Linked DNA regions of Neurospora crassa OR74A. The protein of the gene in region 1 binds, or shares a complex with, the protein of each later gene. Links are inferred from orthologs where the notes say so. Each region holds a gene or a part of one and is shown in the gene's direction. Other genes may lie near its edges.

What was found. Proteins that work in one complex are often made in the same cells at the same time.
Region 2: the proteins of NCU06719 (region 1) and NCU17251 are in contact, whole or in part, in a crystal structure (PDB 4XHR), measured with the Saccharomyces cerevisiae proteins. The link is inferred for Neurospora crassa OR74A from reciprocal best matches to the Saccharomyces cerevisiae genes UPS1 and MDM35. Residues at the interface, in NP_013294.1 of Saccharomyces cerevisiae: Phe15, Ala16, Ser19, Arg20, Phe23, Asn24, Tyr26, Pro27, Leu35, Ser36, Ile37, Asp38, Thr39, Ile40, Ser41, Arg42, Val44, Gly48, Asn49, Leu50, Arg51, Thr53, Leu55, Trp77, Ile79, Val81, Ser82, Val83, Val84, Pro86; in NP_012870.1 of Saccharomyces cerevisiae: Ser6, Ala7, Ser8, Phe9, Lys17, Tyr20, Phe24, Asn25, Trp27, Tyr28, Ser29, Phe32, Leu33, Val38, Trp46, Tyr49, Thr50, Val53, Leu57, Gln60, Ile62, Ala65, Leu66, Glu68, Ala69, Arg70, Glu72, Pro74, Phe75.

Annotation. Positions count from the first base shown.
Region 1 is NC_026505.1:4,379,018-4,383,041, forward strand, and holds NCU06719 (MSF1 domain-containing protein), read left to right. Parts: upstream 1-1,224; 5' UTR 1,225-1,310; intron 1,311-1,382; 5' UTR 1,383-2,180; coding exon 2,181-2,888; 3' UTR 2,889-3,609; downstream 3,610-4,024. Other genes in the region: NCU06720 (carboxypeptidase cpdS), read right to left, coding at 3,742-4,024. UniProt on the Saccharomyces cerevisiae protein: Required for maintenance of normal mitochondrial morphology. Required for PCP1-dependent processing of MGM1.
Region 2 is NC_026507.1:3,164,592-3,167,603, forward strand, and holds NCU17251 (hypothetical protein), read left to right. Parts: upstream 1-1,349; 5' UTR 1,350-1,669; coding exon 1,670-1,710; intron 1,711-1,762; coding exon 1,763-1,800; intron 1,801-1,861; coding exon 1,862-1,938; intron 1,939-2,006; coding exon 2,007-2,100; intron 2,101-2,155; coding exon 2,156-2,157; 3' UTR 2,158-2,512; downstream 2,513-3,012. Other genes in the region: NCU02256 (exosome complex exonuclease Rrp6), read right to left, coding at 17-350, 410-987. UniProt on the Saccharomyces cerevisiae protein: Involved in mitochondrial distribution and morphology. Mediates the import of UPS1, UPS2 and UPS3, 3 atypical mitochondrial intermembrane space (IMS) proteins lacking the two major IMS-targeting signals, into the intermembrane space.

The DNA of each region.
Region 1 (4,024 bases):
TCCCGTCCCAGATATCAAATCAATTGCGCCACAGCCAGAGACTCAGATCACCTTCCAGGCCAGCCCAGCGAGCCAACAGCCAGAAAATATCGAGTTTCGAAACTTGTCAGTATGCGAAGCAAAAGCAAAATGAGGGCGGACTGGTGATATTCGAATGATGGCAGAATGATGGGACGCCGTCACGCGTTAGATGGATTGATAATGTGTCGGTTTTCGCTGTGGTATCGTGAAGCGTCGTCGCAGGTCACGTTCGGCTCAGATCGGCGGTTGTCGTTCGGTGCGCTGATGGAATGGTAAAGGATCGCAGCAAGCCTGTCGCAAATGGTGAGCGACGCGGCGACGCTGGGAAAAGAGCAGAATCGATGAATAGAAAGCCGGCTGATGCAGTTGTGATGGCCAACTGATTGATTCGCCGTGGTGTCGCGGACTGAAAGTTTTGCTGGAGGAAGAAATGAACGGGAGGGTTCGGGGCAGCTGAAATGGAAGTGGCCCACGGAATGTCATACGCTGGCGCCTATTGAATGGACGGATACAATGACTAAGCAGCCTGTGCATTGCAGGCAAGTGTGGTGCAGTGAAGGAAGCTCACTCATCGGACGTTTGAAGGAAGCGAGACGGGACACGGGTGCCTCCCCACTTTTCAAGTTGCGCCCGTGCCCTACACTGATGTATTCTACATACACTATGTAAATGACTAAGCCAATCACCCCGGCACTGGCGGCCAGCCGAAGACTGCTTGGCAGTGACTGGCAGTGGAAAACACCATCCACCAGCAGAAGCCCAAGGAAGCAAAGGTACCAACATAAATTTGATGATACCCATACTAAATCGGTGAAAGCATGTCGGTATGACCACACACGCAGGCTTTGAAATTACCTCTGGTTTTCCAGTTTGTTCTTTGTTCATTTCCCCTTCAATATCACGATTGCGGACGTTCAGGCCGGGTTATCGCAGGGTGCGCATTGCATTGCTGCAGGAGCTGCTTGCGCTAGGTGGGGAGGATTGCATGATGATGATGATGACAATGTTTCTTGCGTTGACAAGTGAGCAGTGGGAGCTTGGTTCCGTGTTACACACCCGCGAGGATAATGGCCAGACGCTCGACGATATCGTTGGATCATTCGAAGCAAATGAGCCCACGATCGTCAGAGTTGCGCAGTCCCCTCATTTTATCTGTGGCTCTTTTCTCTTTCTTTGTTTATACGTCCAGCTTTGGCCACCCGACTCTGATATTGTTGTAGCACTGCTGCACGACAGAACACTTTTCACGATTCTCCACTCTGCATCTAGGTACAAACACCCGACTAGAGGTAGGTGTACAGAACCCAGCGGGCACCTTGCTTCCATTTCCATTTCCACTTCCCCTGTTCTTACACTTACAGAGCCGCTACAGTAAAGTCCTTTCCCGCAAAGTGGAAAATGGAGCGGTGCCCGTTACCTCTAGCATAGCGTACCGGTATTTATCGGGTCCAGTCGTACCTACATACCTACCTGCCCTGTAGGTACACTACGTAGAACTACATACACTACCTAGCCGCGGGAGTGTGGCTCCTCCATCGGCCCATCCCGTCGGTTCGTCGTCGGGTCACTTTCATCATCGCTTTTCCGTCGCTCTCGGCTCTGGCTTGGTACTAAAGTAGAGGTACCTTTTTTCCCAAGTTTACAAATCCTGCCGGCCCCGCGTCAACCATCTTTGCTCTTCCTTCCCCAACTTTCCTACCTTACCTACCACAGCCTACAAGCACCTCTGTACTAAAACTTCAGACTACCATCATCGCACCACGGCAATTGGGAAAAGAGGATTTGACAGCTTTCTGTGGCCGTGCTCCGTTCCAATGTCAAAACCTCTTTACCAGCGATCGTGAGCTGCGCTTCTCACAGATAAATTACATACACGATTCGTCCCGACAACGTCCACGATTACAACATCGCCACCTCCAGTGACTTCATTCCAGACTCCCCACGTTTAGGCAAGCCACCGCTATTTACCAATTCTATCTGGAGTCGGCCATCCGCCCGAGCCTACCTAGCTTCGAACCGTGCTTTCTATACACATCCAGCCCTAGGAACCAGTCATCCGAAACTCGAGTGCTTCATAGTCCCATTGCTGGACAAGTCGATACGTACCGAAATCTTCCATACGGCACTAGCAACGATCCTCACCCTCTTCCTCGGTCAAAATGGTTCTCACGCACACTACCAACCATACTTATAGCCATCCTTTCCCGACCGTCACGCTCGCCTTCTTCCTCCGGTACTGCTCCCCGCAGCTCAATCCCTTTTCTCAGCATGTCATGAGCACCGACACCCTTTCATCACATGTCGACCCGGCCACCGGCCGTCTGCACACGACTCGCATCCACCTCAAAAAGTCGCGTATGCCGCCTGCTATCATGAAGATGCTCCCCACTAGCATTACGGGTGGTGCCACGACCGAGAAGGCGTCCTATATCATGGAGACCAGCGTTGTGGATATGAAGGAGGGCTGGATGTCGACCGAGAGCCGGAACCTGAACTTTGCCGGCGTTCTGTCGGTGGTGGAGAAGCAGATCTATACGATCCCAACGAGCACTAATGAGATTGGAAATACGACCGACGTTGCCACGACGGTGGTCTTTCGATCTCGCTTTGGGGAGCGCATTCGCGACAAGTTGGGACACTTGCACGCGCATGAAGTTGAACAAGAGAAGGGCGGCTTCTTTTCCCGGCTTGGCGCCCATGGTATTCAACGAAGCATCGAGAGCCTGGCGTCGAAGAAGACCCAAGACCAACTTGGCAAGAGCCGAGAGGGAATGAAGCTGATTCTCGAGCGACTTCGCCAGTCGGGCATCATGGGCGTCCTGGAGCTCAGAAAGATGGCACGGGAACGCAACATGGAGAAGGCTTGAACGAATTACCGAGCTAGGGCTATAATGACCATCTAGGCCTTCGGTCGTGCTCTGGGGCCTTTCCCCAAGCTTATGATTTGTTTACTTGCCCTTGCCACCGTCTTTGTCCACCATTGGGCATCATCAAGACGTATCCGACCCTGTCCTCTGCTCAATCTGGGCAAAAAAGTCTCGGTGGAAGTACGCGGACGAAAGACGCATCTTTTCCACGGCACCGCAAGACGAGTTAGGCCACAATCTCTGTGAGCTGTCTTTCTTGGTGTCGTGCTGTACACTACAACATTGTCGTTGATTTTAGCATGGCGTTGGTGTAAGGTTCTGTGTTGTCACTGGGTCGCATACGATGAGGGAAGTCATCCTCACGACACGCTCACACGCGAGCATATACCCGCGTACCCATTCTTGAAGTTTGTGAAGGAGGGGGCCGGCAACTACGGCGTCAGCCAACTGAATGAGGGGACTGCGTGTACCCTATGTGTTATTTTATTCCACTCTCTTTGTGTTGGTATTGGTTATGAAAAAGAAACGGTTTTAGCAATGAATGTCTCACTGATGTGTATTGTGTATGTATATCGTATAGGTCTTAACGGAAGGCTCAGAACTGATCGTGCGAAAGGAAATCGAATAGGAGACATGATGAAGACGTTGAAGACGTTACAACACGAGCGTGATGCATTACTGTTCAGCATTTCTTGTCAATCTTGTTTTCTGGCAAAGTTCCGTTTCTACAACGTGCTGACCGGTTTCCAGCGCAACATGTAGAAAATTTTTGATCGTTTTGAGCCCCTCCTCATTTACCGACTGGTATCGAAACACTTCATCCATCATAACCTTCATCACCATTACGCCCCCTTCACCTGACAAACCTGCCCCTTCCACCTCCATGCTGTTTCCCCGTCTTACCCGGGGACTGACTCCAGCTCTGAGGCGCCGTCCCCTCGCCCAAAGGCTGCTGGCTCTGCGGCGCATCCGGGTCTGTCGTGAATGGGACCGTGCAGTTCAAGCAGTTAACTCTGCCCAGCAAGAACTCTAGCTGCCTGTACGCCGCCGACGGCGCATACTGCGGCACCATGTGGCCCGACATGTCGATCTGGACCCAGGTCAAGCCTCGCTCGCTGCCCATGGATCCAAACACG
Region 2 (3,012 bases), on another chromosome or scaffold:
CCAGGATGTGTCTCACCTTGACAATGTTGGGGTTCGCAAAAACCTCATTCAGAACCTCAAGCTTGTGCCTCCAAGGTTGAAGAGTATCAATGACCCAATCCTTCTCTCTGGTACTGATCTGCATGAGAGACAACAGTCCGGTGTAAGACCTAAAATCGTGGTGCTCCAGATCAAGCGCAATTTCCTTGGCCTGCTTGAGCTCCTCCAACATCTCCAAGACGCCCTCATAAGTATCAACCCAGATGGCGGATGTCGAATCGATAGGAAGGTACTCCTTGGGTTCGCGCTTCTTGTACACATGCTCAGGGTACGGTGTCGTCTTGATCTCGGTTTCGTAGGGGTGTTTGTATCTGGGAGATTCATGTTAGCGACATGCTCTTATGATATTGGAAAGAAAGGTTAGACGTACTGTGTGTTGTTGTCATCATCGACAAAGGTGGTCAGGCTGTCTTCCAGTGACACCTTGGCATGAGGCTTGGACGACAACAGAGGCTTCCAAGGACCGGTAGCGAAGTTATCGACCTTCTTCTCGAAGTTATTCTGTGGTTTGAGAATGTTGGCTCTCTTCAAGGACCAGTCAAGACGATCGTTAGACGACTTGACGCGTTTTTGGGCGCGGCCCTGGTCGGCGGGGGTAGGCGCATCCTTCCGCTTGATCAATCCGGTGTACTCGTCGAGGCAGGTGTCGGCTTTCTCGAGCAACGAGTCGATCACGTCGACAATGTTCCGCCATTGGATGTCCACGTCGTCGGCATCTTCAAGAGCGCCAACCTTCTGGCCGGTAAGATTCGCGGTCGACTTGAGGAGCCCGTTGGCCAGGGACAGAAGGCGGCCGGAGCTGTTGTCGAGTTGACCACCGACAGTCGGGTTGACGGTGCGCTGGAACTGAAGATCCTCGCTGGCGATTGAGTTGGCGGTTCGGGTCGTAGCGACCAGGGCGGCTTGGAGCGATTCCCTCAAGCTCTTGAAGTCCAGTGAGCCGTCCATATTGGCCGGTGGTTCTGGAGTCGTTGTGGTGTGGACGTCACTGGAAGTGGAAGCCCGGTTCAATTTTCCAAAAATGGTTTGTCGTTCTGCTGCTCTTTGGGAACTTTTTTTGCGGACAGTCCCAGCATGTGGCTTGTGGAGAAAGCGCCAAAGTGAACGGGACCTCGAAAAGTGGAAGCTGCCCGATGGATGCCATCAAGTGGGCCTCGAGTGAGCTGTTCCCGCTCTGCGCTGGTAGAGGTACCTGATGGCCCATGCTGGGAAGTAGAAGCACTAAAGTAGAGAGACTTTGGGCAGCCGATTACATAAGGCCAAGGGGGCGCTTGCCAAGAGCCAAGATTGTGCTGATCTGGACCACCAACGTTCGTTCATCCATCGGCGTCCAGGCTTTTGAGATCCGTCCTGTGACGAAGTGGAAGTCCGCAACCCCATTGTTGAATAGCACCTGGTACTTGTTGGTTTCCAAGCGGACTCACCGGTGAACGTTGATATTTGAGATTCCGTACAACCGTCTTTTCCACCAAAAATATTCACCTGGAGTATCTCACGAACACCCTTCTATACGATCTTTTGCCCAAAACATAGATATACCGTCGATACCCATAAGTCATCGGACACCGTACCAAGCCTATCGTTTTGTTGGCAACACCTACGGTTGAAAACATAGCTCTGGACTTTAAAGATGTCCCAGTCACTCGCCAAGGAATGCAACGAGGCCAAGGAGTAAGTTTTTGTCCTTCATACGGAAAGAAAACAACATCTTAACCAGTTGTAGACGTTACGACACTTGCTTTCTCAAATGGTACAGTGAGAGTAAGTCTACAGGAACAGACACCCCAACTCAGTGGACATGTGTGATACTTATACTGGACAGAATACCTTAGGGGCAATGGTACCGAACAAAATAACGAATGTTCAATTCTCTTCAAGGAGTATAGCTCTTGCCTGCAGGTAGGACGCAAAACCATACAGCGCCCGTACTCTAGCATCGAGATAGCTTACCATATGGCATTTTACAGGTTGCTTTGAAAGAGCGTGGCATCGACAAGCTGCTTGAAGAGGCGCGGGAAGAACTCAAGGACAGCGACTCAACATACATGGGCAAGAAAAAATGTGAGTTTGAGCTTACGAACATGGCCAAAGTTGAAAGGATGACTGACTTGCTCAGAATACCAGAGCTGGACGACGTCTGAGTACCTTACTGTACCACTCGTCGACCAACTCCTTGAACAAAGCCGCAACAATCCAGTTATTCTCCTTACATTGCTCAATTATCTCTTCTCCGTATATATCATATATCGCCTGGTATTCGTGGAAGGACTTTCCATTATGCACACCCTCCATGTCTTGAACAAAGCCCATGTACCAAAAGTGTCACCCGCTGGTCTTTGACTGTACCTTTCTGATTATATCTTCTGTTGAGTTGTTTTCAGTGCTCTCTGTTATGGACGGAAGCCATGGATGACTTCAAGTCGGTTGAATGTTCCCCTTCCAAATAAGGTTTCCCGTCCTTGAGAAGTGGATCCTCCCCAACATCCAATCGGTTCATTACAGAGTGCCGTGCAGTCGCAGCCAGGTCGGGTTGCGCTCGGGGACTCTGGCTTCTGGGCGCTAGAACTTAGAACGCTCCACACTCCCTGTAATACTGCCTAAACTGCTTCGATAAACTTCAGCGCGAGTCTGAGCCGAGTCTGTCCACCACGACACGACACATAACGCATCTGATCGCCCTGCTCCCCCGTCCCCGTCCCAAATCAACAAGTTTTCGGCTTCCCGTTGTGCTTCCCGTCAGTACCAGCTTTGCCCGACTTCGACCTACCTAATCCAACCTCTTCGAACCGTCGAGTATTGTTTTCCCCCTCCCATTACAGCGCCCGCCAATTCCTCATATAACCGCACCCACTATCCGCCCGCATTTCCTCTCCCCACACAAGGGAAAGTGACATCGGACTACAGCATCTACCGGCCCAGACTTTTGCCGCGATCGCATGCTCGAACAGTAAGGGGCAGCGCGCCTCTATGCAC